Linked DNA regions of Danio rerio. The protein of the gene in region 7 binds, or shares a complex with, the protein of the main gene of each other region. Links are inferred from orthologs where the notes say so. Each region holds a gene or a part of one and is shown on either strand. Other genes may lie near its edges. The genes, in order: ahi1, tmem107l, mks1, cc2d2a, tmem17, cep290 and tmem67.

Region 1 (4,469 bases), on a different chromosome or scaffold from region 7:
TAAGTGAGCGACCAGTGCTCTTTGTTTATTCAGTTCGTATTTTATTCGTATCAAACAAACTATTGCACCGAGTGCAATAGTTAGCACTAACAGTTACAACCAAACTATAACCTCGTGTTGGATTTTGTGACCGGAATAACACACACGGCTTTCTGACACTACCTGCCGAGTGCATCTAAGTTTCCGGGAAATGCTGAGTTTTTTTTTCTCTCATTCGCCGTGCAGTATCAAACATTGCATGAAAAATACACGCTTAGAGCTGTTCCTCGAATCAAATATCTCGTTTGTCGGGAGGGACATTAATGAATTCCCTGAATGAAAGAGCCAAACTGCAGTTAAAGTCCACCATTTAATAATTTGGCAAATAATTCGACTACAGATGTCCATGTAAACACAGTCACATTGTCTGCTGTGGGTGTGTGTTTTGACTCTGAAATTCAGCGTGCCCAAATAGACACTCCCACACCAAGCCGCTTTTCTTCCTCCGACACTCCCCCCTAAACAGAGCTGGACACGCCCACTTTTCTGACTTTTTCCAAAGTAGAGGTGTGAAAACACACTGCTGAAACGAGGGGGTTTCATGGCCCTTTAAAGAAAACCCCTGCATATCGTAGTATACTGTTTAATGGAGACCAGCTGGCGAGTGCAGCCTGAATGCATCCCTCTTCTAGCTTCCTCCTTAGAGCATTCGCCTACCATGCAGGAACCGCTGGTTTGATCCCCGCTTGGAATAAGACTAGTTGAAATATGAGAAGTGTAAATGCTTTTGAATACCTGGGATTTTACTACAGTCATCGGTGGTGTAATGTAAAATACCTTATGTGTAAAAAACTACAGTAATTGAGTAATTTGTTTATATTACTGTTATTGTATTACTACATGAATGAGTTGGTCAGTTGTGAACATTTGACATTATTACAAAACAGTGCTTTCCTACACTTTAACCAGCAGAGGTCCTCATCCAGCTCTGATTTAGAAAGCTTCGTGTAACAAACCTTTTTCCGATACATTTGAGTCGAGCGCTTCACTGGTTCAGAAAGCTTCATTTCTCCATCATTAGTTTCAGACCAGCCCATCTGGCACCAACAACCATGCCACGTTCAAAGTCACTTAAATCACCTTTCCTCCCCATTCTAATGCTCAGTTTGAACTGCAGCCGATCAGCTTGATCATGTCTACATGCCTAAATGCATTGAGTTGCTACTATGTGATTGGCTGATTAGAAATTTGCGTTAACGAGCAGTTGGACCGGTGTCAACTAATCATTACAGTTAACAATTGCTCTGAACATACCATATTTACAATAGTTGCACTTCAATTGGCACACTATGGACTTATACACTCAACCATGTAGTGTAGAAATGGGTTTAGTGTCGTTCTAAATAGACACTAATGTTTTTACTAGACAGAAATACAAACCATTTCCCAGACAACGTTTAACAGCTGCCAAATAGTGAAACAAATGATCAAACTACCAAATAGTACCAGTCATGAGTATAACAGCATTCACCATTGGGAATGTAATCACTTACATAGGAGAATTTTGCTTGCACAATCCAAAATAAATAATGAAATCCAACCTTAGTGCCTAATAGCTCCTCCCCTTCTGCAATGTGACCGTTGAGTGCTTGAAGTATTCAACATTTCACACTTCTGTTTAACGGTTGAATAAGTCTTTTATCCAGGTATTTAAAGTGCACTTATTCTTTTAGTGCACTATTTATACCGGTGGTTTTCAACTGGTTTGGCCATGGGACCCACATTTTTACATGGTCATCAAATCTCGACCCAAAATTTTAGGAACTAAAATATAATTTTGGGAATTATAATTAATTTGTATTTATTTGTTAACATATACAAGTAGTGACAGATAAATGATAAGAAAATCCCCAAGATTAACAAATAAACACTATTTTATTATTGTAATTTAACAATATAAAAAATTTAAATTACAGAAAATATTACACAGTAAAAACGACAAATGTTTGGTTTCTAAAAGTGCTCTTGTGAGAGCTCCTCACTACACATGGCACACTGAGCCTTTTTTGTCGTCCATATATGTAAATCCATACTTGACATGTTCGGGGTCGTACTTGCGCTTCGATATATTTGTTGCTATAATTAAATGAAATTTCACATGTCAAACGGTACGGTTGTTCCCACAACAATTGTTTTTTTTTACCACACACTCTGCGACCCACTAAAAATGTTCCCGCGACTTTTGGGTGTGACCCACCAGTTGAGAAACACTGATTTATACTACAAAATAGCTTAGAATTGTGCATAAGTATGCAATTTGTAATGCACCTAATGTTTTTGTTGTGTTGGTCTGTACTTTTAGTATATGAGATTCCATCTGGGAAAGTTCTGTCATCTTTTAATGGCCATCTGAGTGTGGTTTATGATCTCTGCTGGTCCAGAGATGATAAAGGCCTGTTAACTGCATCCTCTGATGGAACAGTGAGGTAAAAACATTTGACAGTTTTAAAAGATCATAATACCACCTCATTATAATATGTACCTCATAATTACATATCAATGTTTTTCCCTTTCAGAGTGTGGAATGTTGAACGTCTGCAGACTCTTGCGCATAAAACTCTTCCGCACCCTTCATTCGTGTACTGTGCCAAGTTCCACCCTCAAGCCCAGAGTCTGGTGGCGACGGGGGGTTACGATGGCGTGCTGCGAGTCTGGAACGTAGATGTACAAGATGTGAATGGTCAACTTTTGCAAGAGTTTGACGGACACAAGACTTTCATCAACACTCTGTGTTTTGACCCTGAAGGTACAGAGGAAATTGGTGGTTTAATAACTGAATGGATGTTAAAGCTGTGATATGAGACTATAGTGATGTGTTGGTCTTTACACAGGGAGCAGAATGTTTTCTGCTGATAATTCCGGACTCATCATTGTGTGGGGAACGAAAGTTATGCCTGGGTCTCGCCGTGGAGCAACCAGTCAGTGGAGCATTGAGAGGGTAACAGTTTTCAATTAATGCATGGAAGTTAAATATTCATTTAAAAGATGAACATTTCCTGACTATTTACTCTCACTCAACTGGTTCAAATGTAAACGTTTATGAGTTTCTATCTTCTGTTGAACACAAAACTAAATATTTTAAAGAATGTTGGAAACCATTGACATTCATACACTGCAAAAATGCTTTTCTTACTTAGATTTTTTGTCTTATTTCTGGTCCAAATATCTAAAAACTCTTTAATCAAGCATATTTTTCTAGACAAGTAAAACATACTGTCCTATTTTAAGATATAATATGCCAAAATTTAAATAATCTGCCAATAAAGTAAGCAAAATAATCTTATGTCAAAAGGAAAAACTAGATTATTTTGCTTGTTTTAAGGAAAAACTCATTTAATATTGGCATATTATTTCTGAAAACAAGACAATATGTTTTGCTTGCCTTGAAAATTCTTCTTGATATAAGAACTTTTAGATATTTGGACTAGAAATAAGACAAAAAATCTAAGAAAAGCATTTTTTGCAGTGTAGTAGAAACAAAAATACTAGAGGTTGATGGCTGTTTTTCTCTCTCATCATAACAGTGTTTAACAGACAGAAGAAACTCAAAGTAGAGATCTGCGCGGGACTAAATTTTGAATCCCGCTCCCGCCCGCATCCGCCAGGTTTTAGCCCGAACCCGACCGCTCCCGCTCCCGCTCCCGCTTATATTAAGCACTTGTTGTCTCGCTGCCCGCCCCGCCCCGTTTTCTATCCGCTGCGCCCGATGCCGCTAAAGAGCGGGGGGAAAACAAAACCGAAAATCACCCAGTTATACAGTCCAGACAGCCTATAACAAGCTGTCTGTATAAACACACACACGCACAGCACCAAGCACACACACAGAAACAAAGCTTTCTCTCTCTCATTCGCGCGCGCGCCCACTAACACACACACATAAGCACCAAGCACACACGCACGCACGCACGCACGCACGCACGCACGCACGCACGCACGCACGCACACACACACACCTCTCATTCGCGCGTGTGCATACATATACACACACACACACACACACACACACACACACACACACACACACACACAGCAACAAACAAGCTAAACACAGCATCGCGCTATTTCATTTACACACATACATACGCGTGCTCACTCGGGAGTCGGGAGCGAATATTGCTAGACAGCCCGCTCCAGTCCCAAATTAAACCCATTACCGACCGCTCCCGTGATATATTCTGAAATTTATACCCGCGCCGTAGAAATCTGGTCGGGTCCTGCGGCGCCCGCAGGACAGCCGCGGGAATGCAGAGCTCTAACTCAAAGCTCAGGTGGAGGATTAGTAAATGATGTCTTATGTGAACTGTCCCTTTAAAAAAAATCAACTGAGGGTTGAAATACACTATATTAATATATTTTAAAACGCTGCGCACCAAGCAATTTTGTGTTCAATAGACGTCTAATAGACATCTAGCTTGGATGTTTTGGCTAAA
Region 2 (5,223 bases), on a different chromosome or scaffold from region 7:
AACAAAATTGAAAGTATTGAGCAAAAAATAAATGCAAATCTCTAAAAATCGCAAAGCAAAAGCTTTAATTATTCATTCTTTTTCTTGTCGGCTTAGTCCCTTTTTAATCCAGGGTTGCCATAGCAGAATGAACCGCCAACTTCCAGCCACAACCCATCTTTGTGAAACATCCACACACACATTCACACACTCACTCACTACGGACAATTTAGTCTACCCAATTCACATGTACCACATGCCTTTGGACTGTGGGGGAAACCGGAGCACCCACGCGAAGGCAGGGAAAACATGCAAACTCCACACAGAAACACCAACTGAGCCGAGGTTCGAACCAGCGACCCAGCGACCTTCTTGCTGTGAGGCGACAGCACTACCTACTGCGCCACTGCCTCGCCCAAGCAAAAACTTGTTTTTCAGAAATAAAAATAGTTTTTGCTAACAAAAATTTAAAAATTCAAAGGAAAATTTATTTTTGAAAAATAAAAATTACATTTGCAAACAAAAAAAGAACTGAAAAAAAAAATATATAAATATTTGCAAAACATTTTTAGCCTTGACCTAACCCATCCAGTCAACTGCAATGCTCATTTTGATTTGACAAAGGGGTGGAGTCAAGGGAACTTGGGCGTTTACGGCAGGCCTTAGGTAAACCTCTAAGTTCCCTTGACTCAGTCCCCTTGTCAAATCAGGGCCACAAAGTGAAAGGCGCAGAAACGTGAAGTACAAAGTGAAAACAGCATCACAAACTCACAGTTGACTAAAATCTAATTAAAATGACAATTGCAACTGACCGGGCAGGTTTTGTAAAAGCAATGCTATAAAAATGTTTTGCAAATATATATAGTTTTTTTTTGATTATTGCAAATCTTTTTGTTTTGTTTTTTTACTGCTTGATGTTTATTTGCAGTTCCTTTTTTGTTTAAATTTCATTTTTATTTCTCAATTTTCCCCTTTGCAGTTCTTTATTTTTGTTAGCAAAATGTATTTTTTATTTTTTTCATTTACATTTATTTATTTTTTGCTCAATACTTTATTTGTTGTTTGCAAAGTTTTATTTTATTTTGCACGTACAGTTGAAGTCCGAATTATTAGCCCCCCTTTGAATTATTATTTTTCCAAAAGGGTTTTTTCTTCTGGAGAAAGTCTTATTTGTTTTATTTCGGTTAGGATAAAAGCATTTTTTTTTTTAAACACCATTTTAAGGTCAAAATTATTGCTCTTTAAGCTATATATTGTTTCGATAGTCTACAGAACAAACCATGGTTATACAATAACTTGCCTAATTACCCTATCCTGCCTAGTTAAACCAGTTAACCTAGTTAAGCCTTTAAATGTCACTTTAAGCTGTATAGAAGTGTCTTAAAAAATATCTAGTCAAATATTATTTACTGTCATTATGGCAAAGCTAAAATAAATCAGTTATTAGAAATAAGTTATTAAAACTATTATGTTCAGAAATGTGTTGAAAAAAATCTACTTTCCGTTAAAAGAAATTGGGGAAAAAATAAACAGGGGGGTAATAATTCAAAAGGGCTAATAATTCTGACTTCAACTGTATATATGGCCCTAGATTGACTTTATATACCAGGTAGGTCTTGACCACATTACAGCTCCATATAATTTTTTACGACCCATGACTTCAGGTAATTTACTGTCAAAAATCTGAACAAAACAGAAGACTTTGGATGAGATGTGTAAGAAACTAGTACTAGACACACATATGGGAGCTGTTTGCGTTAATCATAAGTTGAAGATTTGACTCCGATCCATGAAAATATAAGAAAATAATACACAATTTATATGCATCAACACCTACAGTATATATATAACCTATAGTGGTGATGTGCTACTGGTAAGGATACACAGAAGAGCTTGGTTGTTGTTGAACATAGAGATTCCACAGAGAAACCCAACCAACTCGATGGCTAACAGGCCAAGAGTCACGGATAATGCCACCACAAGCCTGTATTCCAAAAACAATGGTTAGGACAGCGTCATGAACAGGACTTACTATATCTGACTCCATAACATTATTCACATCTACATATAAATAATGTACAATTTACTATCAGTCAAACAATAATATGCTGTAAATGGGTCAAACAAGAAAAGCCATCAAAAGATTTTAAAGTATTTTGTTTCATAAATTAAAAGGTACATTTAATTAACAATTAAAATACATTCTGTATTGCGGAATGAAAAAAAAAAAGACTATTTTAGTTGAAATCTTGCAGGTTGTAATTTCTTTTCTTTTTTGGATTATTTTGCTTGAATGTAATTGTAATATCTTTCAATTTCTAAATATGTTTGATGACTAAAATATTATTTGAATAAATATATCTGTTTAATAAATCTGTTTTGTTTCAAAGGGGTGTACTCATTTGCTGAGCACTGTGCATATATCATGCACTTGATGCTATCGCATTCCTAGGTATACCCCAACTGCATTTTGTTGCCTTGTACATGTATAATGACAATAAAGTTGAATCAAAAAATACTATTCAGTCTCACTACATGACCGAAATAATTATATTATCATTTAGCCACTGTGAAGCAATACAGAACAGAGAAAGTGTGTTTCCCAACCGTGTGTCCTCTGCTGTGTACTCTTCATTAGTGTAGTCGAGTGGTAGACAGGCTCGGACACTGTACTCCTGTAGGTCATTCCACATTTAAACACACAGCTGGCTGCAGTGATGTTGTGTGATATAAAAATAACAATTACACACACAAGAACACTTCTTACCCGAGACCAGAAAATGATTATCACTATTACAAGGTGCGCGATGAGAGTGAGGAAACGGGCAGGCACCAGACTGCTGACCACCGACATTGAACACTAGACAGAGAAGAAAGACATAATAACTTAGATTGAACTGTGCAAGTGGATGACTAACAGTTAAAGGTTTAACGTGTTCATCTTCACAAAACGTGAGGTTGTATATCAAAATGGTATACGTACCAGCTTTGCGTTAGTTGTTAAAACCTGATTTTTCAAATGGTGAGCAGTAAAGTAGATATAGCACTGTATATAAGGCTACTATGCGTATAAGTTTATCAAGCTTGAGGACAGTTATCGCTCGATATAAGCTTCGGGTTGCTACGACAACACTCTTCTTCTATTTGGCGAATGGGTTATGGTCAAAACAGACCAACAAGTAGCTCAATGCTGTCACCTGCTGGAAGGAGTCGCTTTCTGACTGGTCCTCAACTTGGTTTTACAATGTCTCAAAATGTTCATTCATTCATTTTCCTTCGGCTGAGAGCAGGTACTAAAGGTGAAATAACTTGAAAATGGTGAACTGGAACATGGCAGCGCAGACAAGTAGTAAGACAATTGGAAAAAATTTATTTCAAAGACTTCATTATTGTGGTCAATAGGGAGCACTATCAAGGTGTTCGAGGTGTCTTAAACAAGCCTTTTATTCAGTCATTCATTTTCCTTCAGCTTAGTCTCTTTATTTATCAGTGGTCGACACAGCGGAATGAACTGCCAACTTATCCAGCATATGTTTTACACAGCGGATGCCCTTCCAGCTGCAACCCAGCACTGGGAAAATCCATACACACTCATTCAAACTCATATACTATGGCCAATTTAGTTTATTCAATTCACCTATAGCACATGTCCTTGGACTGTGGGGGAAACCGGAGTACCCGGAGGAAACCCAAGCAAACACAGGGAAAAAAGCATCTGCAGAAATGTCAGCCGGGACTCGAACCAGCAACCTTCTTGCTGTGAAGCGACAGTGCTAATCTCGAAATGAAATGCATTTAAACAAACTAAGTTGTTTTTTGTTTTACGGTCTCATTTTTACAGTGTATCTATAGCATAAAGTACTGAGTGGCATTAATTAACGATATGGAGTACTTACTATGGTTATGGGTTTTTGCATGTGATTATGCATAATTTATTGGTATTATAGTAAGTGCATAAAACGTGTGTAATAAGAGCCCTATAAGTTAAAAGGATAGCTCACCCAAATATAAAAACGTGTTTGCTGTTTATTCAAGTGGTTGTAAATCTTTGTGAGTTTCTTTCTTCTGTTAAGCGATAAAGGCAATACTTTAAAGAAAGTTGGAAACCTGTAACTTCCATAGCATTTGTTTTTCCTATATGGATGTCAATGGTTGCAGGTTTTCAGCATTCACAAATCAACAAATAAATGAATCATTAGTTTTTACTGTAGCCTACAGCCAGACGTCGTTGGTCTAGTAAATAATAAATAAATACTAACTCAGTGGTTTGCTATCAAGGGCATTTGCTGTTCTGGAAGGCAGTAAAATATTAACCTTAGAGTTAAGAAATTGAGAATAGACAGTTTTAGGAAGACTTTTTTTTTTACATTGTGGTGACAACATTTGCCATTTTATTTGCAGGGTGTGATATATTTTTAATAAATCTGAAACCCAACAAACAAGGTTGGCACACCTTAGATACAAAACCATGAAGAAAAGAATTGTTTAATATATATATATATATTTATATATATATATATATATATATATATATATATATATATATATATATATATATATATATATATATATATATATATATATATATATATATATATATATATATATAAATAGTTTTAGCACATTTCTATACAATAGTTTTAGAAACCTATTTCTAATAACTGATTTATATTATCTTTGTCATGATGAGAATAAATAATATTTTACTTGATATTTTTCAAGACACTTCTGTACAGTTTAAAGTAACATTTAAAGGCTTAACTAGGTTAATAAAGTGAAATAGGCAGGGTAAGGTAATTAGGCAAGTCATTGTATAATGATGGTTTGTTCTGTAAACTATCGAAAAAAAAATTAGCTTAAAGGGGCTAATAATTTTGTCCCAAAATTGGGTTTTAAAAAATTAAAAACTGCTTTTATTCTAGCCAAAATAAAACAAATAAGACTTTCTCCAATTTCCTTGCTCTGTTAAACATCATTTGGGAAATATTTAAAAAAAAAGAAAAAAAAGGGGGGCTAATAATTATGACTTCAACTGTATGTATATATAATAATAAATAAATTATATTTCTGTACTTTAGGTGTTCTTATATAGGCTACCTAAAGCAGGGGTGCCCAAATGTTTTCTTACCAAGGGCCAAAAACCCAACTTGATTTACACTAGTTTTTGCCTTGGTTTGCTGACCGCTGTCTTCTGCGTAGTCCTCTATCTATCGAGTGACAGTATTTACATAAAAAAAATCAGAC
Region 3 (3,412 bases), on a different chromosome or scaffold from region 7:
TCAGCATGTACATTTAATAATGGTAAAAAGGTTTAATATGTATTAATTAGGGTATAAACCTTACCATTTTATGCATATGCTGTGCTTCTTAATGGCTGTATTTAATTTTTGTCGTGTTTTGTCTGGTGCAAACAGCCAAATTGTTTATCACTGTGAATCATGTCATGTAGCATGTTGTCAGGACACAGGGTTACAATATAACCTGCTCACCTAATGTTTACTTTCCTAATATTTATATTATTTGCTAATTAATAACTGTATCATGTGAAACTCTGAATACGCATCTCATTTCAGAGTCTGCTACAGTCCACCGGAGGTCGCATTTCAGTCACAGACGCATGCTTTGGGAGCCTTTCTGAATGAATGAACGTAACAGCATAAGTGCACATTACAGTTAAAAAAAAACCCCATAATAAATCATTCAAGAGTTCACACTTAGCTGATGATTGATTATAAGCAAGTTTGGCATGCTGTCCCGGGAGAGAGCCCTGAGCTCGAAGGTTCTTGAGCCCTGGGCTCCCTCCCGTTTGGAGGAAGAGAGGGGAGCCTCGAGCTCAGGTAGATCTCGACAACTCCCCCTTGATAATAGCTAAAGACTAAAAATTGAATGCTATTAAAAGATATGCTGCATTATTAGATTACCTGTATTGAAAATTTAGATTTATCAATTTACTTGTTGTGCATGTTTTTGGAATGTGGAAGGAAGCTGGAGAAAACCCGGGGAAAACCCACGCAAGCACGGAAAGAACATGCAAACTACACACAGAAACGACCAACGGCCTGTTAAGGAACTAGAACCGGTGATGTTCTTGCTGTGAGGCGACAGTGCTAGTCACTGGGCCACCGTGCTGCCCTATGGAGGGAAAGGTGAAAAGGTTGGGGTGGAAGGGGGTATTCTTCAAATCGAAGATGACTGTAGTGGAAAAACACTGGCTCTTTATAGTGGTTAGGAATGGCCTGATTGGTAGATCAAGCATGCTAATGCAGAACCAGCCGTGTTCAATCATAATCACGTGCTCCTCTCGAAATTAGTTTATGAATAAACTTCACTTATCAACATGGTACATGTACTTAGAAAACACTTTTAACTAAGCAGTTTAGGATAATTCAATAGCCATGTCTTTATTAAGTTTATTAAGTCTTTATTAGGTCTTCACTAACATGGGAGCTTTACTAATTTCTAGTTTCTTTTCTCAGAGCTTAACTAAAAAAAAATCAACAAAAAAGTATTATACATATAAACAAATACCATGACCAGCATTATTACATATGTTTTATCAGTTTTGATGTTCCTAAGCAGAAGACTCTGAGTTTAATAGTGCAGACGTGTTGATGAGGTCTCTGGGTAAAGTCTCTCTGGCCTCCTGCATGCGCTTATGGGCCCTCTGAAACGCTTCTGAAAAATCACAAACAAACAGCAGATTTTTAGAAACATGTTGCTATTCTGTACTGTTGTAATATTATATTATATTATATTATATTATATTATATTATATTATATTATATTATATTATATTATATCCTTCTGAGACCCGAATTTTTTTTCTTTTTCTTTTTTTTTCTGTGGTTTCCTAGATCCTTTGGGTTAAAAAAATTCTCCAATTTAGAGTGTTTACATTTTGTTTTAATTTTTAATTTTACAGCATGTCCAGTGGAGTGGACCATAGGACCATTTTAGTTCAAAACGACTGCCACTCAGACAACAAAACTGTACAGGATATGGCTGTAAAGGGATAATAATCCAATATTAATGTAACAAAAACAAAACAAAAACTTTTTTTTTCCTTTTGTATTGAAATTCCTGAAACAGTTTAGTCTGAAAGAGAGCTGAACTTTGAAAAAAAAGAAGTGATGTTATTATTATATTATATTATATTATATTATATTATATTATATTATATCGTTAAATAGTAATAATACATTTTTATAACTACTAATAGATTTAGGTTTTCAAAGAACTAAAAAAGGTGTTAAAATGAAATTAAAATAAAAAATGCTATAATGGTGTACACATAAATGTATTCGTAATTAATCAGCCATGTGTTTTCTGAATATAAAATGTTTTAGCTTTACATAAGTAGGAAAATATATTTTATTCATATATATATATATATATATATATATATATATATATATATATATATATATATATATATATATATATATATATATATATATATAACAAACATTTCTCAGAAATAAAGTTTAATTGAGTCATTCGCCTACGGTAATATTGAAAAAAATTACTATTGCGGTATGACGGTATTTATATATATATATATATATATATAAATATATATATATATATATATATATATATATATATATATATATATATATATATATATATATATATATATATATATTAGATTAGATTATGCATTACATATTTAAGAGATTATATATAATGTTTATATTATTTTTTTTTTCACATTTTCATGACACCTTATATACCCAGTGTTTTTAAGAACTGTTTTTATAAATAGTTTAACCTGATATACACTGGTTTACCTTGTCTTAACCAATGATGCTTTTCATATTTTAAACCATTTTTATTACATAAAATAAAATATTTAAAGGTGCAGTATGTGATTGTCTAAAGAAACATTTTTGTTGTGCTGGTGGAAAGTCTTCACAGTCCAATATTAAGGATTAAAGTAATGGGGTATATGCCGAAGCATGCTAGTAGGACTTTTATTTGCCAGTAACCTGGGTTAAGCGCTTCCGGCGAATTCAATGCCAATGCAAAATCCGGTGCGTTTAAGGTCTGTTTTCTTTAAAATCAGCGATCTCCACTAGCTGAGTGATATCCGATTTAAAGTGGGTCTCAGATTGTACAAGAAGCATTGCATTAAATTACATTTTCCCCCGCCATATATTTATAATATGAGCATTTATTTTACCCCAGTATATTCAATGGAGCTTCTGCGTTAGCCTGCAGATTCTGACGGGCGCGTGCGAGTGAACAGCTTTTTGTCTTGTTTTACGCTTGAGCAACTAAATAAATGCTAAAGTTTATTTAACTGAATGTATTTTAATGACATTGCAACATTAATGCTGCATAAGGAACCGTGTAAAATGGTAAAAAGTTCACAATAACAGGTCACCGGAAGTGTATCAGCATGGGAACTGCACTAGCTCGGCATATACCCTATTGAACTAATTGTATTTATATGCATTTGTATATTCTGGGTAAGGCATAAGACTAAAAAATTTTCGTACAATTAAAATTTGTCGGGCCGACAATTCCCATAATTCTGATAAGTAGCCCAAACTGTCAACAAATCCGTCAACAAATATAGATTTGTACAATTGCGCACCTCTGTTCACGCAGATCCGCCAATGCATGTACACATGTGCCATGGCCATGTGGATACGAGTGACAGTGGTAAAAACAAATGCTGAATCAAAA
Region 4 (4,469 bases), on a different chromosome or scaffold from region 7:
GTTCGAGGCAAATGTACCTAGTGTGAGTACGGCCTTAAAGGCAATCATGAACATGGAGCATTTATACCTCTTCATATATAACAAGACCTTTAGGGAGCTTCTCACCTGCTTGTCTTTGACCGCACGTCTGGCCGCATCACGAAACTTCAGCCTGGCAGCAAAAGAGGAGTCCTCATCAGCCCGCAGATCTGGATCCATCTAGAGGAGGTGAGCAGATCAGACCTCGTTTTAAACACTGAAACTTGACTTCACATTCATTAGAAGAAATGTATACAGTTGAATTCAGAATTATTCGCCCCTTCAAATTTCTTTCTTCTTTTTTGAATATTTTTCAAATGATGTTTAACAGAGCAGGAAATTTTCACAGTATGTCAGATAATATTTTTTCTTCTGGAGAAAGTCTTATTTGTTTTATTTTGGCTAGAATAAAAGCAGTTTTTAATTTTTTAAACACAATTTTTCCTTGATGATCTACAGAACAAACCATCAATATACAATGATTTCCCTAATTCCCCTAACCTGCCTAGTTAACCTAATTAACTTAGTTAAGCTTTTAAATGACACTTTAAGCTGTATAGAAGTGTCTTGAAGAATATCTAGTCTAATATAATTAACTGTCATCATGGCAAAGATAAAATAAATCAGTTATTAGAAATTAGTTAATTAGATATAGTTAATTAGTTTATTAGATTATTAAAACTATTATGTTTAGAAATGTGTTGAAAAAAATCAGCTCTCTGTTAAACAGAAATTGGGGAATAACCTTAACATAACCTTTCTTTAAAATTAAAAAAAGAAATGTTTTAAAAGTTTTCAAAACTATAATAAACTAAATGTATGTAACAGTCTGTCCAGGTCAGTGTCCTGTCACAGTCTATGGGAAAATCTAAAGTTTTAGACCAGGGGTGGGCAAATTCGGTCCTGGAGGGCCGGTGTCCTGCACAGTTTAGCTCCAACACTAATCAAACACACCTGCTTATAGATTTCTTGTGATCTTAAAGACACTGATTAGCATGTTCAGGTTAGTGTTGGAACAAAACTCTGCAGGGACACCGGCCCTCGAGGATCAAGTTTGCCCATCCCTGTTCTAGACCCTTCCATATAGTCCAAGCTTTTTTACAGCATGCTAATTCCCCTGATTCCACAGGAGGAGCTGTTTTAATCAACTCAACAGGAGAAAAACAGACAGTGGACAGTGGACAGTGGACAGTCATGGCTTTCAGATGTTTCTCAAATGATGTTTAACAGAGTAAGGAATTTGTCAGTATTTACAATAATATTATTTTCTTCTGAAGAAAGTCTCATTTGTTTTGTTTCAGCTAGAATAAAAGCAGTTTTTATTCATTTATTTTTGAAAACATCTGAAAGTGAATAGTATTAACTGCCTAATTAACCTAGTTAAGCCTTTAAATGTCATTTTAAGCTGTATAAAGTGTCTTGAAAAATGTCAGTTATTAGAAATAAGTTGTTAAAACTATTAAGTGTTGAACAAAATCTTCTTTCTGTTAAACAGAAATTAGGGGAAAAATAAACAGGGGGCTAATAATTCAGACTTCAACTGTATGTATAAGTTTTGGTGTGTTTCTTACGTCTCTGTCGAATCTAGTGACGGTGTCTCGATCTTGTAGACTCTGCAGGCGACTTACAGGCTCAATGCTGCTTTCCTGCTCTAGAAGACTCGCGGCTTTAGACTGAAGGGACGACACAGATGAAAAGTGTTAAATAATCTGACATATATTGAGAAATGCATGCTGTGCTTTTCTCTGCTCCTTCACCTTCGCTGCTCGTAGCTTCTCCGTCATGCGTTGTCTCATAGTCTTTTCTGATTGGCTGGATCCAGGCCGCATCACAGTATGAGGAGAAGCATCTGCATAGATTGTTAGCATGAGCACCCATGAATTTTAAAAAACGTTTTTTTAGATATTAGCAGTATGTTAGTCAGTATATTAGTCTTAAGCAAATCTATAAGCTATTGTGCTCAAAAATTCCCATTTAGAAGATATAATCCAGAGATACATCCAAAGCTTGCAGTTTGTCACTTCCACCAAAATGGATCAATGATTTATTAACATCTCCTCATACTTCAGTTTCTTATCAAATCTTCTGACCAAACAAATGCTCTCTAGTATCTGACACGCCCCGCCCCCTTCTTCTCATTTGATGCGCTTGAACTCAACCGCTCTCACTGGCAGAGCTGTGAGAAAAGCAAAACACTATTGGTTTTTTAAAGGGTAGAAGCTACTCTATGTCCCACCCCATCTTTATATTTCAATTGAGTAGTGCAGTTTATTTAAAGATAATCCTTTTTTGTATTTAGGCAAGGCAAGGCAAGTTTATTTATATAGCACAATTCATACACAGTGGCAATTCAAAGTGCTTTACATAAACAAGAATAAAAGAAACAAGTAAAATAAAAATAAAAACAAATAATAAAAATGCGTAAAAAACATAAAAACAGGTAAAATGTGATATAAAAGAATGAAGAAGAAGAGAAAAACATGATAGTGCAATCTGTCGGACGCAGCACAATGCTCATTCAGTAAAGGCACAGCTAAACAGATGTGTTTTCAGTCTTGATTTGAATGTGCCTAATGTTGGAGCACACCTGATCATTTCTGGAAGCTGATTCCAGCAGTGATGGTCATAGTGGCTGAAAGCTGATTCACTCTGCTTTGACTGAACTCTTAGAACTTCTAGTTTATATGATCCTAATGATCTGAGTGATCTGTTGGGTTTGTATTCAGTCAGCATATCTGTAATGTATTGAGGTCCTAGGCCATTTAGTGATTTATAGATCAGTAATAATACTTTAAAATCTATTCTGAATGTAACTGGCAGCCAGTGTAGAGACCTGAGGACAGGTGTGATGTGCTCTGATTTTCTGGTTCTGGTCAGAATTCTGGCTGCAGCGTTCTGGATGAGCTGCAACTGTCTGACTGTCTTTTTAGGAAGACCAGTGAGGAGTCCATTACAGTAATCCAACCTGCTGCTGATAAAAGCATGAACAAGTTTCTCTAAATCTTCACTAGAAACAAAGCATCTGATTCTTGCTATGTTTTTGAGATGATAGTATGCTGATTTACTGACTGCTTTGACATGACTATTGAAACTCAGATCTGACTCCAGAGTCACACCAAGATTATTGACCTTATTTTTTGTCGTTTGACCTTCAGTGCCAAGGTACGCATTTACCTTGAGAACCTCATCTCTGTTCTCAAACGCAATGACTTCAGTTTTCTCTTTGTTTAACTGAAGAAAGTTTTGGCACATTCAATTGTTAATTTCATCAATGCATTGGCAGAAGGTGTCAATGGGGCTGTAGTCATTAGGCAGTAAGGCTAGGTAGATCTGAGTGTCATCAGCATAGCTGTGGTAGGAGATTTGGTTCTTTCTCATTATTTGGCTCAGAGGGAGCATGCAAAGGTTGAACAGGAGTTCATTTTTTGGAGTGTTCTTCTAATTTATCAATGTATATTTTTGCTGATGACACTCAGATCTACATAGCCTTACTGCCTAATAACTATAGCCCAGGCCCGGATTGGCTAATCGGGAGGACCGAGAGAATTCCCGGTGGGCCGGTCTGTTTTTTGGCCGTGAGGGCCGGTGTCCCTAGCTGCTTGCACTCTCAGCAGTCAGACTTTTTTCATCTATTTGTTTATTTGACCATAGCTTTACTCTTTTTATTCATTATTTTGCTGCAGCGCTGCTTTTTTAATTTATTTTCTCGCAGCCCTGTGAGCAAAATGCAGCCTGCAGGTTAACTAACGTTAATGATGATGATGTAATGTAACTATCGACCCCAAACCGCGGCACCTTAGTAAATATAAGAATTCTAATAATTATTATTAATGAATAATACACCTGCCCAATGAAAATCAGATGATTCACTACATTTATAATTCTGACATAACTTGATCAGAAATCTAAAAAGGGGAAAAAAAGATTGAGCTATCAAAAGAAAGTACTGCTGTGTCTTAAGGGTCACAAGTCATTACTTATTTTTTATTGCCACAGTTATAGCGCCATTGTGGTCCAGGAAAGCACGTTGCGTTTCAACGCTGCGGACCCGTGTTCGAGTCTCACCTGTAAAATTATTTTTTTTTCTTCATTTTTATTGTAAAGACATATTATACTGTTAGGGTTGTTGAACATTTGAATTTTTAAAGCAGCAGTTTTCTTGAAAAAGACGTGATAGTGAAATTAGAAACTGAATTGGAACCAGTCGTGAACTGAGGTGGGCCGGTTTGGCTTGAAACTCCAGGGCTGAAAATGAGTCCCACTCCGGCCCTGCTATAGCCCCACTGTCACCCTCAGCCAAATGCATTGATGAAGTGAACAGTTGAAAGTGCCAAAACTTTCTTTAGCTTTCTCTTTGTTTTACAGCTACAAGGTATTCAGACACCAAAACGGGCAGATTCTGGAGGATATAATAAATAATCTGATGGGTGTTTTGAGCTGAAACTTTACAG
Region 5 (5,012 bases), on a different chromosome or scaffold from region 7:
TTTTTGTTTTCACAATATTTGGAGACGCAACATAAAAACTGCTTTATAGTAATAGTCACATGTAGCTTTCGTCAGGAGCCATGGCTGTATTCAAAATGTCAAAAAAAAAATTCAAAGTGCACCACGAAGACAACTCAATTGTCAATATGAAGATCAAAGAACTGTAAAATACTTTTAATGCAAATTACACATAAGAGAGATAACTTTAATGTTTTTTTAATCATTCCAAGTTTAAATGTTTGAACATTCTAAATGTATAAGGCATAGGAGGGTGAACGGGAATAGAAAACAACCAGGAGCAATGCATCTAACTACAGCCCTAGAGGTTTAGTTGTAAGCTTACAAGTTTGTGATGCAGTTTGCGAATGTTCAATGGAACGACGGATTTGGGAACCGCCAAATCAACAAACTATCTTTGTAACGATGGAACTTGTGACCTTGGTTTGCTAACAATTGTTTTCGGAAAAGCACCCCAGGTTGTAAGTACTGCGTCTAAATGCTAAAAGAAGAAATCGGAGAAGTGACAAAAAAGAAAGACCAGGCAATGTATTCAAAATTAAATTTAAACAGATCATCCTCATCAAAAAAGTTTAAGATCATAGCCTTAAATGAAACGCTCAACATTTAAAAAAAAATAAGTTTAAACAGTTGAGTTTTAGCATTTTTTATTCAATTCTGTTGATCTTCAGGTCTGGTGTGAGCACTTTTAGCTTAGCTTAGCATAAATCATTGAATCAGATTAGACCATTAGCCTCTTGCACAAAAACTTAAAGTTATATAAGTTACACAAGATAATTTATATTTATATATAAATATATATATATATATATATATATATATATATATATATATATATATATATATATACACATATATATATATATATATATATATATATATATATATATATATATATATATATACATACATACATACATACACGCACACTCTTCTATAGTTACATTATGTACTAGGAACTATACTCTTATTCTAAAAAATATTTCCCATCTAGATAACAGTGCTACATATTAACATTGTCCCTGCTGCAGCCTTGGTATGGCAGCTAGTCCCTTGATTATTACACCAAAATGAGAGTATAGTTCTTAGCCATATCAACATATCACTTGCGCTTGACGCTCCTTCCACGTCTGGTGTGAACAGCATTAGTATACAATGTGACTAGAAAAGTGTCAAGCTCTAAATAGAAAAATTATCTCCAGTTATTATTTGTATTTTTGGAGCAAGATGCTAATGGTCTAATCTAATTTAATGATTTATGCGAAGCTAAAAGGGTTTTCACCAGACCCAGTGATCATCTAAAAGGATTAAAAAATGGCAAATCTTTTCTGTTTAACTCTTATAAGTTGAGCCTGTTCCTCCTGAAGTGGAGTGTTTCATTCAAATCTGCATAAAAATATGGCTTTCGTGCTTCCCTCCTGAGTGAAAATCTGTACTGAAGATGTAGTAAAATCAATCGAGACAAAAGCAGTTGTAGGCTTTGGAAATTAAAGTTGTAATCTTTATGTTACAACCAATATCATTGCTGTTCTTAAACTCTAATCACTGTGTTTTGCACAAAATAATGGCTTTTTGTCAAAGTGTCTTGAGTGTTTTATAAAACACTGTTCTGTTGGTACACAACTGAAATCCCTTCAAATTCTGAACAATGAGGAGTTAAAAATTCTACATAGTCACTTAAAATAGTTGTAAGATAGACAGATAGATACCTCAGCAAAGATAAATAAGGCCAGTATTATATGAACTCCTCTCTCTAGTGGTTGAACAAGAACAGCCTCATTGAAGAGCTGGAACAAAATCAGAGGAAACTGAAGTAGAAAAGTCAGAAGCCAAAATCCAGCCAATTCTGGAACCTACTGAAAAACAACAGATGCATAATGGGACCAATTATAGGATATTACATGATATTACATTAAATTAAGATTGACCTTTTCTTGCAGATTTCCAGCATTGCCCAAATACAGCCTAATAGCCTCAATCAGGGTCATTACAATGAGAATTGTGATCAGGATGAACTTGTAATAATCTGCAAGGGCTGAGTACTAGAAGAAAAAGCACAATGATTATTAGCTGTAATATCTAACAACAGTAATATGATTAAACAGCCATAAGATCATATTGAAATGTTAAAAATGACAAAGACGAGAATCACCTTTAGGTCAAGCATCACAACCTCACTGATCCACCAGAAAGGAAAGAACCACATGTTAAAGTAGAGTGACATCTGAAGAGGGAGACTCGATACTACATCCTTATCTGAGAAATAATAGTGCATAAAATTAAAATGACAAATTAGCTTTGAATAAAGTTCATTTTTACTAATCTTGGGCATCCTAAATAACCTGATTCGGAACCACAGATATATAATATGTATAATAATAATACATAAATCAGTGTTCGGAGCCTGTATAGGATGGAGTAAAATAACATTTGGCGAATCGGTTCTTTTGAACAGTTCGTTTTAAATGAGTAACTTTGTTCACTTGGCTGTTTTACCTAACTAAACTTGGTTAAAGATATCCAAAATATTTCGATTCCGTCAACCTATTAAATCATCTAGTTGCCTTACTTTAAGTAGTTTTTTTGACTAATCACGTTTTATGAAAAGGTCCATTAAGAAGATCCGATTCAAACGAACCATTTATTATGCTTTTTGGTAACGCAACGTAGTTTCGTAGGTCCCAGACAGGAATAACGCCAAATGTTATCAACTTCCTTTTAAGATTAATGCTACCATAAAGCATTATTATATCTGCATATGACGTCAGAAAAAAATATGTTTACTAGCAAAAGCTACATGAAATCGTACAACTCGGCTAACCAGATGAATTAGCCCTACAGCTAACGTTCACGTAGCAGATCAAATGGAAGCTCAAACACACTTACTTTGGTCTAGAAAATTTGCGTGCTCTTCGAAAGAGGGTTGTGTACGGCTTTGGTCCACAAACACGGTTCTGGAGAAATCTCCAAGCCGTCGCCTGATGGGTTCAGGCAGGTCCATGTTGGGAGAAGCAGACGTGTGTCCGTAGCAACCAGTCTATGGTAGCAACGAAGGCGGATCTTCTTGAGCGGTTGTGATGGTCCAGCTGTGACCACCGGGGGATGTTTTTCACTCTCACTCACACACACTGCTCAGCTGCACTTAACAGGTTTGCTTGCTTTGTATGATGGCGAAATAAGATACATTATGCTGAGTTTTATCCTGCAATGTGTATAAAGAATAATATTAATATTCCTGGCTTAAACTATCACTTTAAGTCAGCATGAAGTAAAAAAATGTACAATGTTTATTTTGCTAGAGGACATTGGTAGTGTTAAGGTGAACAATTAAGTAAAGTCGCTGATCATTTTTATTGTAGGTAATCTTTAATCAAAAACCTCCTATTTGATTCTGCTCTGGTGTGGGGGTCCTTCTCTGATGACGTCAAGTATGAGAACTAAAATAAAACCCTGCCCACTACTCAATGTTCAGTTTATTCAGTCTTGAGATCCAGGGTTTCTATTAGAATTTAGAGCTTTATTTTAAAGAAGGTTCTTTTTGGGTTCTTCACTTTTGAGAAACAATATGAAAAGATATATTTTTTTTGCAACCCAAGGTTCATTCATTCATTTTCTTTTCGGTTTAGTCCCTTTATTAATCCGGGGTCACCACAGCAGAATGAACCACCAATTCAGGGCCGTGCACAGACATTTTGAGGGGCAGGGGCACTAAGTGGGTGGGTTCTTGCTTATACAAATTTTCTAGTTGTTGTAAAAGTACAATTAAAAGAAAAAACAGTACACTCTGTAATAATTTCAGAACTATTTACCATTTTACATTTTTATATTTACCTGTACCTTTAAAAACAAAACTTTTTTTGTCCTGAAAGATCTTGATAAGCTCATCTTACATGTATGTGATTCACATTTACACATTGCGGATAATAACAGAAACTATTTACTGTTGGATGGACAATCTGAACATTTTCTGTCTCCATCACCTTTACTTTGCTGAGTTGACTCGGAGGGAGTTTCATCTTAGAATGAATAACAAAGCATTTACAATATTTAAATTATTTAAATGTCCATCTATCTTTGTATGACACTCTAGCATATCCCTTCCAGATTAACAGTCTTACCTGTACCTGTGTGATTTAGCTCATGCTCGGTGGTCTCCCTCATTTTTTGAACCTGCTTCTGCCTCATCTTCAATGGAAAAATAAATATTACACGTTTAATTTAATATTATACACCATGAATTTATATTAACTTTTAGAATATTAATATTGCATTTTTTTTTACTATTTATAGGCCTACTGTTGACATGGTTTTAATAAAATGATTTGCTGTAGCCTGTGATTATAGTGATTATTATGGAAAATATAGGCCTACTTAATTAGACAAACACAGCTAAATGTTCCATATGATGATTTACCTGCTGGAGCTATGAATGTTTTCAGTGTTAAACTACCTTTATCAGCCTTCCTTCGTTCTTTCTCTCTCTGTCTCTGTCTTCTTTTTTGTAAAGGCATTGTTTTTTGAGAATTTTTTTTGTCAACAAAGTGTTCCAACAACAGAAAAAATTAAATTTATTTACAGGCTGAAAGGGGCACCTCTGCCAATGGGGGCAGAGGGGGAGTGGCTCTAGCCACCAGGCCACCCCCCTGTGCACGGCCCAGCTCTGCACATTACTGTGCATTCATGAAACATGACAAAAAGTCTTGGTCTGTTGTAATTTTTTAGTTGTTAGGATCACACAAAATCATATTCTTCTCCCTCAGATGCTGTGAAGTGATGGAGTCCAGATGCTACAGGCACAGAAAAAGATGCAGCAATGGAGGAACACAGCGAGCACCTTCCAGGAAGAGCTGGAGAATAGTAGAAATAAAGACTCTAAAATAAAATTTCACTTGTGTTGTCAGGGGCGGACTGGGACAAAAATTCAGCCCTGGCACTGTAGCCACATCAGCCCGCATTACCACACCGACATAGCCCCACCCACGGACACGGACATT
Region 6 (4,469 bases), on a different chromosome or scaffold from region 7:
CTTTTACAGCTTGCGTTGGGTATTTGGATTGGTCTGCTATTTGGTGATTAGATGGTTTCATAAAGAGCCGTTTGTAGTATTTTTCTAACTGAACATTTATATTGTGTGCAGAGTATGTCTTCACCTGTAGAGACCTTCATGAGAGATTAACTTGTTGATTGGTGGTGACGTGGTGTAGTTCATTTACAGCCTTAAGGCTAGCTTTTCTGGTCTCGCATTTGCATTAGGATCCAAAAATGATAAATTATCTTGTGAAGATTATTTTGATTGGACAAAATGCATGCGTAATAAACTGTGTTTGAACACAGAGCTCATTATTTGCAATCATTGAAATCCTATGGAAAACCCTTTAAGGATTTCATCGAGCAGCCAATTGGCCTACAAGGTGATCTTAAAGTTCCTTCACTCTCTAGCAAAAGTTTTTTCACTATTTCACTGTCGAGCCAGTGTGGGCCAGGGCAATCACCCAGAAGCTTGATCGGTGAGGACGAAATCACATTGCGTTTCCATTGTAGGGCCAATAATTGGTAGTGACAATGAAAATGCAGCTATTGAGGTACTGAAAGGAGTATGGTACACATGGTATTACATGACTCACCCTAGTTTTTTTCCAAAGTCATTAATACATATTTTCTTGAAGTAAAGAAAAAATAGCATGTCTTCAGATAACAACTGCAGCTAATTCAAGTGCAACATTTAAGACATGATTTTAAGGCAATAAACAATCAAAATCACATTGTATGATTCATTTAAATCCCCTCTCATAAAATGTGTGTCTGACTGGGAAACCCAACAAATGCATATTAAGCAAAGTCAGGTACAAAAATAGCCATGGCCATATATTTTAGCGCTATTCTTCTTTAAATGCTTATTTAGTAAACACATTTTAATGTATTTAACGCCAAAAAGACTAGCACTGATGAAAGCTGTTAGTAAATTGGGCCCTCATGTCAGTTATATATATCAAAAAATGTTTTCCAGCAAAAGTGTGTTTGAAGTTAGTGCTACACAAAATTAATTTTTATGCCATTGACTATGCCATAAAAGACTAATGAATCTCTATTAGAGAGAAAGTTTAAGAGAGTCTCACAGCAGCAACAAGTCTCTAAAAATAATAACGTTTTGAGTTTAATTGTTTCAAGACCTACCACAGTACTGAAAAATATCAGTTGTGGAACCAATTTATGTATAAGATCTCTGGGAATAATGAAATAAAAATAATTAACATTTTTATCTCCATATTTATTATATATTTACTTGCTCAGTCAATGTTTTTATGAGTTTTGATTTTTCTGCTGTTGCAGGCTAGAAGGACCACTGACAAAAATTAAAAATCAGTGATATGGAACAGTAGTGTGGTCAAGAAGTTCCAGGAACTATTTTATCAGCTCATTTCCCAGAAAATAATCACATACCTCTGAACATTCATCATCCATTCATAAATAAAGCCTTCAACAGAATCACAGTCAAAGACATTTTTTTGTGGTGGCCATATTATACGAGGCAAGTGGTGCCGCTCCATTTGTCATAAACATGTTTCAAATAAATAGCCTGTCTATTCTAATTCTGGCTAATCTGGGGTCTTACCTTCCTCGTAAGCTGCTTTATCTTGATGGGCATTGACAACAAATGACAGCGAGGAAAGAAACGAGTAACAGAAAATGATAACAAGCATGCGTAGAAAATGAAATGGACAGACAAGAAATAAAGCTGAGGAGTGAAGTGAATAATGGTGATATATGAGAGATGCTGGAACAGATAACATACAGAGAAAGATTTAAGATGTACCCAAAAAGCATTATGCACGCTCCGAAAAGGATTGGACATACCTCTCTTTTTAGTTTCCTGTTCTTCTCTTCTGCTTCTTCTGCACGAAGAGCCAGCTGGGAGACGGAAAACATGCAATCAATGTTTTAGTTTGTCAGTCATGCACATGCAGCTGCAGAATTATTATTCCGTATTTTCTCTCCCAAAATGCATACGTTTTTATAAACAAAACATTTATTCAATGATATTTTGGTTGAATTATAACTTGCTCGTTTTAACTACATACAATGATAATAATATAATACAACGATATTTATAGTAGCAGTATCTGACTTCTTGCATTCAAAAACAAATGGTTTTCTCTATTATGAAAAACGTATTGAAATTAATCTCACTCCATTTGCCTTTTATCATCAGTTTTACTTTAAATTATTATAATACATTGATAAATGTACAATTTTAATAAGAGTTATATATATATTCTTTTATTTTATATTTAAATTCTCCATTTTGGTTTGAGATTTGTTTTGTAATTTTTTGTAAATATGACCATGTAAGTTCCAGTTAAGTTAAACTGGTAATGTATACATTTTAATATTTGTCAGCATTCTGCAAGGGGGCATGTACAGTACACTTTCAAGAACAACTGTATATATATGTTTTAAAATTATGATAATAATGATAATAATAATAATATGATAAAAACAGACTGCAGGGTTTTTGAAGTTAGTTTGTACACCTTTCATTAAAAGTGCTGCCTACCTCTTCATTGGATTTCCTTTCCTTGCCCATTTCCTTCTCCAGTTGGGTCACCTCTTTCTCCTTGCGCTCCAGGTGACTCTCCAGTTGGCGAATTTCATCCCGCAGAAAATGTTTGTCTCCCCCTCCCATCACACGCTGGGCCATCTGGACAGGAAGTGAGGCAGATCTGAATAAAGCTCAAGACCCAAGACCCAAAACCCAAAACTCTCCATCTGTACAGATCTCTGATGCTGGTGGGTTGCATGAAATTCCACTTCTTTTCACAATAATGAACATAACAATAGAAATGTTATGTGTAGAACAATTAGATTAGTAATAGATGGCAATAAACGTGGAATTAAGCCTTTAATCCTCTTAAGTCGGTGCTTGTAAACAGACACAGCACATGCTCACAAACAACAAATACTGTACTGGCAATCAAATTATTAGAACTGTATTCACTTAGCCAAACATCTCCCTTACCTCCAGCTCACTTTCCAGCTTTAAGACTTTGGCTTTCAGCTCATTTTCTGCAATCAATAAAACAAAATATAAACAATTACCCTCCTCACAAAGCTGTAGGACCTAAGACTTTGTTAGATAATTTCATCCTTAGGTTTGCCAAATAGGCATGAAATTTGCAAATTTTTTTTCTACACTACTGTGACGAATACTTGAGTGGACACAAACTCAAAACTCAACTGGGCACAAAAATCTTAAACTCAAAAAGAAAAGTAGGGCGGGACTTGATTTTGTCTCTCTGGAATTGATTGGGTTGTTGTAATTTTCTACTGGTTGTGAATGACATCAAAAACAACAATAATTAATTATAAATAATTCATTTACAGAAATGGTACAACCTCAAATCAGAAAAGATTGGGACATTATGGAAAACCCAAATAAAAAAGAAATGTCTAATTTACATTGACTAATTTTATTTCAGACAATACAACACACATTATTTGATCTGTTCCTCATTGTTATTTTTTTTAAATAAACACATTCCAAGTTTGGTTTTCGCAACACATTTAAAAAAAGTTAGAACAGTAAAGCATTTACCACTTTGTATGGTGCCATTCCTTTTCACAACACTTAAAAGACGTTTGCAGACTGAAGACACTAAATTGATAAAGTGTTTCAGGTGTAATCTTGTCCCATTCTTCCTGCAAGCCTTACAGTGGGCAACAGCACATGATCTTTATTGTTGCAATTTGTGCCCTCAAAATGCACCACATATTCTCTATTGGAGACAGGTTCGGACTGCATGCAGGCCAGTCAAGTACCTGTATCCTCTTTCTCCGCAGCCAGGACTTGTAATGTGTTCAGAATGTGGTTTTGCATTGGCTTGTTGAAATGTGCATGGGGGTCCCTGGAAAAGACGGCAACATATTGTCTACAAAACCTCTATGTACTTTTCAGCATTAATGGTGCCATCACAGAAGTGCAAGTACCAAGTGCCAAGGTATTTAATTTCCCCTAAAAATACTTGAAATACTGATTCATCTAACCACAGCACACACTTTCATTGTGTGATGGTCCATCCCAGATGTCTCAGAGCCCAGAGAAGTTGACAGCACTTCTGGACACTGTTAACATAGGGCTTCCTTTTGGCACAGTAAAGTTTTAACTGGCATTTGTGGATGTAACATATTGTGGAAAATGTTTGTCAAAGTAGTCCTGAGCCCATGTGGTGATATTACTTATAGATGAATGACGATTCTTGATACAGTGCTGGGATCGGAGATTATGATAGTTCAGCTTAGGCTTGCAACCTTGTCCTTTACACACTGAAATTCCTTCAGACTACCTGAATCTTATAATTATGTTTTGCACTGAAGGTGAAATTTTCAAATGTCTTCCTATCTTTCTTTGAGGACCTTGTTTTTAAACATTTTAATAATTTTCTTATGTGTTTGTTTCAAAGTGGCGATCCCCCGCCCATCTTTGCTCCTAAAGGACTA
Region 7 (4,469 bases):
CTTGTAAACCAGGGGTCGCGAGTTCAATTCTCGCTGGAGCCTGGAAATTATTTTTAAAGACAATTTACAAAAAAGACTTTTAGCAGAATCACTTATATACAACCAACATAAGAAACATATATGAAGGATGAAATGTGCTCTGAAAAACTTGAACAAAAACCTCAAGCAATTATGCTTTTATGTAGCATCAGTTTTACTTATGAGGCCTGCCATGTGTAAAAACCAAGAACTTGTTTAATTGATCAAAAATACTTAAATATAAAAACATTTATACATTAGATTCAACAACATCCTGTCTTAGAAATTACAAAAAAATTATTATTAATATAAAAACAATACAAAATTCGGTAGAAGAAACCTGAAGGCTGTCATGGTGCAATAAGATGAAGATCTAGATGAGAAATCGTTTGTCAACTAGCGTTTTGTTGGCCAGGTTCCTGCGGCCCAATCCATTTCGAATTAATCTAAATATCTGAAAGAGAACAAATGTAAATAAAATGTTAATCATCACCTCAAGACCATCGAATGAAACCAGTGCATTAACACACACTAACCATTTGCTGAAGGTACGTTAACACAGCTGCGAGAATGAAGTTCTGCTTGCCCAGATCAACCACACAGAAAAAGAGCGTGTCGAAGATCAACAGCACACCCTCATTACCATAAAAAAGGACATCAGCGAATGAGTGAGAATCATCTGAAGAGAGATAAACACAAGGGTATTCACTCGGAACAGTGTGAGTGGGGTTTATTTTTTGTAAGTGTATTGATTATATGAGCGTTTTACCATTATAAAAGATGCTTTTATCGAGCGGCTCTATGAACTCCATACCGATGACTCTCTCAAACAGTAGCTTATCTTTCACAATGTAGTCCATCTCACGATGTGCCTGAGGAAGCAGCATTTAGAATGTGCACAGCAAAACACACAAAAAAACAAATATTATTATTAATAAATTTAATTAGTATTAAATTAATAAGGGAAATGACAAGCATCAGTTAAAGGCAGTTCTCACATGATCAATGACAGAGCCCAGGAATCGGTTCATAGTATGGTATGCTTTTGTGCTTTGCTCGCATGGATTGGCTGTAGCATCCACCAACCTTGAAGGTCCTCTTCTCTGTAAAAGTAGAAAGATTTTTAGTCACACTTACACAAGAGTGCTTTGAGTCTGTTTGTGTGGTATGGGTATCAGCAGGCAGCAACACAATTGATTGTTATGTCAGAATGAGATAATAGTTCCTAGCCATGTCTTCCTACAAAATGTAACCACAGAAAAGTCTAATAGTCTAATCCAATTCAATGATTCATGCTAAGCTAAGCTGAGTTTAGATAAGCAAACCAAAGCTAAAAGTCCTCCTCCAAGACCTGGGCCCTCATGTACAAAGGCTTGCGTTGAAATCATACTAAAAGATTGCGTATGCACAAAGCTGTAAATGTGCGTACGCAGTAAAAAATTTAGATGTATGAAACACTGCGTACGCCGAATCACACGCATATTCTCTTAGTACATCTGAATGAACGTGAAACTGAGCGCATGAGCGCAAAACCCCTCCCTGCCTCCTCCCCCGTATGAATATGTTAATTAATATACTCTGGCAAAACCCAACGAAAAAGCAATGGCAAAAGCAAGCAAAAAGAGAAACTTTGAACAGAATGTGATTTGGAGGTGCTGCTTTCGGAGGTAGACTGGAGAAAAACGGTGTTATTTGCAAGTTTGTCCTCCGGAATTAATAACAAAAGAAAAAAATAGAGTGGGAGAGTTTGGCTGATGCGGTTAACACAGTTGTGTACATGGAATGAATGTATAGAATGGTTAATGGCTTAGGTAAAGGGTATGAACGCTTAGCTATGGATGGAACTGAGGGTGACTATTGGACAAATAGGGTTTATGAGAATGTAGTATGATCCAGAGCCTGGAAGAGGGGATTAAAAGAGATATGCACATACTCACTGTTCCTATATCCTGTTGTTTTTTAACTGTTTCTTATGTTATAGGGCACGTTGACATTTTGTGCACTGAATGAAATTGTTTTGCAAGAGCGTGGGTGGTTGGAAAAAGACCAAGAGGAACTGAACTGAATGCTTGCACGGACTCAAAGCCCATCTAACACTAAGTATAAAGGCTGGGACTGCCCCAGTCTTCTTTAGAAGAGAGCAATTAACTGTTTGATTCACATCTCAGTTGTTGTTGCCTTCCTGCTTACTGAGGGAACACACAGACGATCTGCAATTTATTCCAACAGCTGGTTTGGCATCAACTCGTCTGTCAAACTGTGAGCAGCAATATTCTTCTTTCATTTTGCTTCTTTGGCAATATGTCTGTAGGCATGTGTGGTTGCACACGTTACCATCCAACCAGTTAACAAATATGTGTTGCACATTTATGTAGCCAATTAAAAAAAAAAAAAAAAAAATATATATATATATATATATATATATATATATATATATATATATATATAAAAAAAAAAAAATATATATATATATATATATATATATATATATATATATATATATATATATATATATATATATATATATATATATATATATATATATTTTTTTTTTTTTTTATTTATCATTCGACTCATACTATTAACAGGTTAAAAATGCATCTTTTTTGGTTAACAGTGAAACAGTTATTATGAGCATCCCTAATTCAAAAATGGTTAAATTCGACTGTTTAACATTAAACACTAGGCTCATGTAAAATGAGTATTTTATAAAAAGAAGAAAGAAAGAAAGAAAGAAAGAAAGAAAGAAAGTGAAACTGTTTCTTTAGAAAGAAAGAAAGTGTTTCTTTAAGCACCAATGTGACTGATCATCTTTTCTTTTTTTAAAGGCAATTTCAACAGGCATGTCTAATTTTGGGGGAAATATTTGACATAGTATTTGCTTGTGTTTATACCCTGCTGATTGGCTCGATTATCCGATCATACTGTGCTCGCAGACGGTTAGTTATCGAAATCTGAAACGTCTGAGTATCAGAGTTTGGCAAAAGTCCCCTTTGGCCACACAGATTCTCCTAAAACACATAAAAAATACAATAAATAACTTATTTATTTCAAAACTACTATAAACAGTAAGCCTCAAAATCTTACCGCCTCCCTCTTAAGGTTAGTGTTCATCTCATCCATGTTAGTATCAGCATGACCATGAACAGAGCGCCCATGAATGTAGTAGCCAAAACATCGATGAGACAGCAGCAGAACTGAGATCTAAATGACACACACATATAAATAAAGAAACACAAACAACATTAAACCATGATGTAAGATGTGGTTTATAACTACATTTATCATCAAGATTTCCAGCCGGATACTTACATTACTGATTGAGCACAAATCCACAAACTGACGAATCTTGTCTTCAACAAACCGTTCATGGAACACTGTGAAGAATATCATCTGAAGCACAATCACACAAAGAAGAGCATGTGGAATCTAATTGGTGACACAATTAGTATGCCTCTTGTCTATTTTCGTATGTACCTGTATTAAGCCAATGCAGAGCCACATAGCAGTAGCTACACCATAGCGGAGTATGAGGCTGTATGGAGGCGTGTATTCCTCAGCAGATCGATTCAGGTTAGACGAAGGATCTCTTAGAGCCAAATTTGAGAAGCCTACAACCTGAAAAAAAAAACAATATGTACTGTTAATTAAACTAACAATTGTATAGGTTCCCTTTAATATGGATTTAAACCAATGTTCTTAAACTGCCGGCCTGTGGGCCATTTACGGCCCGCCCTCCTCCTCTCTCCGGCCCGCAACTGACGTCAAAAATATAAAGATATTCAGCCCACCAAAACATATAATTTTTAACCTCTTTCACTGTTGTGCAGTGGCGTCTAGCCTGTGGTTTAGCCCGCCACCTAGTTGACATTTAAAGTACTGCATTCAGATTAGTTTTACTTTCACTTTCTCTCAGTGTATTGTTGAGAGTAACACATATGCTTTTAAATTCTGTGGCTAATTTAAATGTTAAAACTAGTGCTGTCAATCGTTTAAAAAACATTTACTAAATCGCACTTTTTTGTTAAATTAATTGCGATTAATCACATTTAAAAGACTGATACTTGTAATTTTGGTAATTAAAATGTAAAATTAATGTAAACACAAGAAAAAAACTATTTAAATTTTAAATATAATTGTTTATTAGGATTTTTGTTTAACCTGTAACAGATTTCTTCATGTAAACAACATCAGCAGGCAGCAACACAACTGATTATGTCAGAATTAGAGAATAGTTCCTAGCCATGTCTTCCTACAAAATGTAACCACAGAAAAGTCTAATAGTCTAATCCAATTCAATAATTTGTTTAATATGATTAAGATAATACTCTTATTACAAGTCTACCATGTAAACAGCGATCCATGAAAGTACCACCAAGACACAAAAGGCAGAGGGTTTTTTTTTCCGTTCGCCAAGCGGTATCAAATTCCGCAAAGTCGAAAGTTAAAAA

Evidence for each region.
Region 1: tmem67 (region 7) and ahi1 share a complex: the UniProt entries of both Homo sapiens proteins name them as parts of the tectonic-like complex. The link is inferred for Danio rerio from reciprocal best matches to the Homo sapiens genes TMEM67 and AHI1.
Region 2: tmem67 (region 7) and tmem107l share a complex: the UniProt entries of both Homo sapiens proteins name them as parts of the tectonic-like complex. The link is inferred for Danio rerio from reciprocal best matches to the Homo sapiens genes TMEM67 and TMEM107.
Region 3: tmem67 (region 7) and mks1 share a complex: the UniProt entries of both Homo sapiens proteins name them as parts of the tectonic-like complex. The link is inferred for Danio rerio from reciprocal best matches to the Homo sapiens genes TMEM67 and MKS1.
Region 4: tmem67 (region 7) and cc2d2a share a complex: the UniProt entries of both Homo sapiens proteins name them as parts of the tectonic-like complex. The link is inferred for Danio rerio from reciprocal best matches to the Homo sapiens genes TMEM67 and CC2D2A.
Region 5: tmem67 (region 7) and tmem17 share a complex: the UniProt entries of both Homo sapiens proteins name them as parts of the tectonic-like complex. The link is inferred for Danio rerio from reciprocal best matches to the Homo sapiens genes TMEM67 and TMEM17.
Region 6: tmem67 (region 7) and cep290 share a complex: the UniProt entries of both Homo sapiens proteins name them as parts of the tectonic-like complex. The link is inferred for Danio rerio from reciprocal best matches to the Homo sapiens genes TMEM67 and CEP290.

What each region holds. Positions count from the first base shown.
Region 1 is NC_133192.1:9,394,143-9,398,611, reverse strand, and holds part of ahi1 (jouberin), read left to right. Parts: intron 1-2,341; coding exon 2,342-2,465; intron 2,466-2,555; coding exon 2,556-2,785; intron 2,786-2,870; coding exon 2,871-2,977; intron 2,978-4,469. UniProt on the Homo sapiens protein: Involved in vesicle trafficking and required for ciliogenesis, formation of primary non-motile cilium, and recruitment of RAB8A to the basal body of primary cilium.
Region 2 is NC_133198.1:31,418,925-31,424,147, forward strand, and holds the start of tmem107l (transmembrane protein 107 like), read right to left. Parts: upstream 3,120-5,223; 5' UTR 2,963-3,119; intron 2,840-2,962; 5' UTR 2,834-2,839; coding exon 2,747-2,833; intron 2,655-2,746; coding exon 2,587-2,654; intron 1,964-2,586; coding exon 1,863-1,963; intron 1-1,862. UniProt on the Homo sapiens protein: Plays a role in cilia formation and embryonic patterning. Requires for normal Sonic hedgehog (Shh) signaling in the neural tube and acts in combination with GLI2 and GLI3 to pattern ventral and intermediate neuronal cell types.
Region 3 is NC_133180.1:61,419,789-61,423,200, forward strand, and holds the end of mks1 (tectonic-like complex member MKS1), read right to left. Parts: intron 1,397-3,412; coding exon 1,293-1,396; 3' UTR 1,097-1,292; downstream 1-1,096. UniProt on the Homo sapiens protein: Component of the tectonic-like complex, a complex localized at the transition zone of primary cilia and acting as a barrier that prevents diffusion of transmembrane proteins between the cilia and plasma membranes.
Region 4 is NC_133198.1:2,304,885-2,309,353, reverse strand, and holds part of cc2d2a (coiled-coil and C2 domain-containing protein 2A), read right to left. Parts: intron 1,868-4,469; coding exon 1,776-1,867; intron 1,692-1,775; coding exon 1,590-1,691; intron 199-1,589; coding exon 106-198; intron 1-105. UniProt on the Homo sapiens protein: Component of the tectonic-like complex, a complex localized at the transition zone of primary cilia and acting as a barrier that prevents diffusion of transmembrane proteins between the cilia and plasma membranes.
Region 5 is NC_133200.1:30,967,466-30,972,477, reverse strand, and holds the start of tmem17 (transmembrane protein 17B), read right to left. Parts: upstream 3,096-5,012; 5' UTR 3,020-3,095; coding exon 2,905-3,019; intron 2,275-2,904; coding exon 2,171-2,274; intron 2,061-2,170; coding exon 1,947-2,060; intron 1,872-1,946; coding exon 1,728-1,871; intron 1-1,727. Other genes in the region: PKc_like domain-containing protein, read left to right, coding at 3,121-3,167, 4,779-4,875. UniProt on the Homo sapiens protein: Transmembrane component of the tectonic-like complex, a complex localized at the transition zone of primary cilia and acting as a barrier that prevents diffusion of transmembrane proteins between the cilia and plasma membranes.
Region 6 is NC_133200.1:18,969,207-18,973,675, forward strand, and holds part of cep290 (centrosomal protein of 290 kDa), read right to left. Parts: intron 3,039-4,469; coding exon 2,992-3,038; intron 2,674-2,991; coding exon 2,530-2,673; intron 1,884-2,529; coding exon 1,830-1,883; intron 1,609-1,829; coding exon 1,588-1,608; intron 1-1,587. UniProt on the Homo sapiens protein: Involved in early and late steps in cilia formation. Its association with CCP110 is required for inhibition of primary cilia formation by CCP110.
Region 7 is NC_133191.1:30,700,300-30,704,768, reverse strand, and holds the end of tmem67 (meckelin), read right to left. Parts: intron 3,637-4,469; coding exon 3,496-3,636; intron 3,412-3,495; coding exon 3,331-3,411; intron 3,223-3,330; coding exon 3,106-3,222; intron 3,030-3,105; coding exon 2,913-3,029; intron 1,122-2,912; coding exon 1,017-1,121; intron 891-1,016; coding exon 788-890; intron 698-787; coding exon 555-697; intron 473-554; coding exon 392-472; 3' UTR 215-391; downstream 1-214. UniProt on the Homo sapiens protein: Required for ciliary structure and function. Part of the tectonic-like complex which is required for tissue-specific ciliogenesis and may regulate ciliary membrane composition.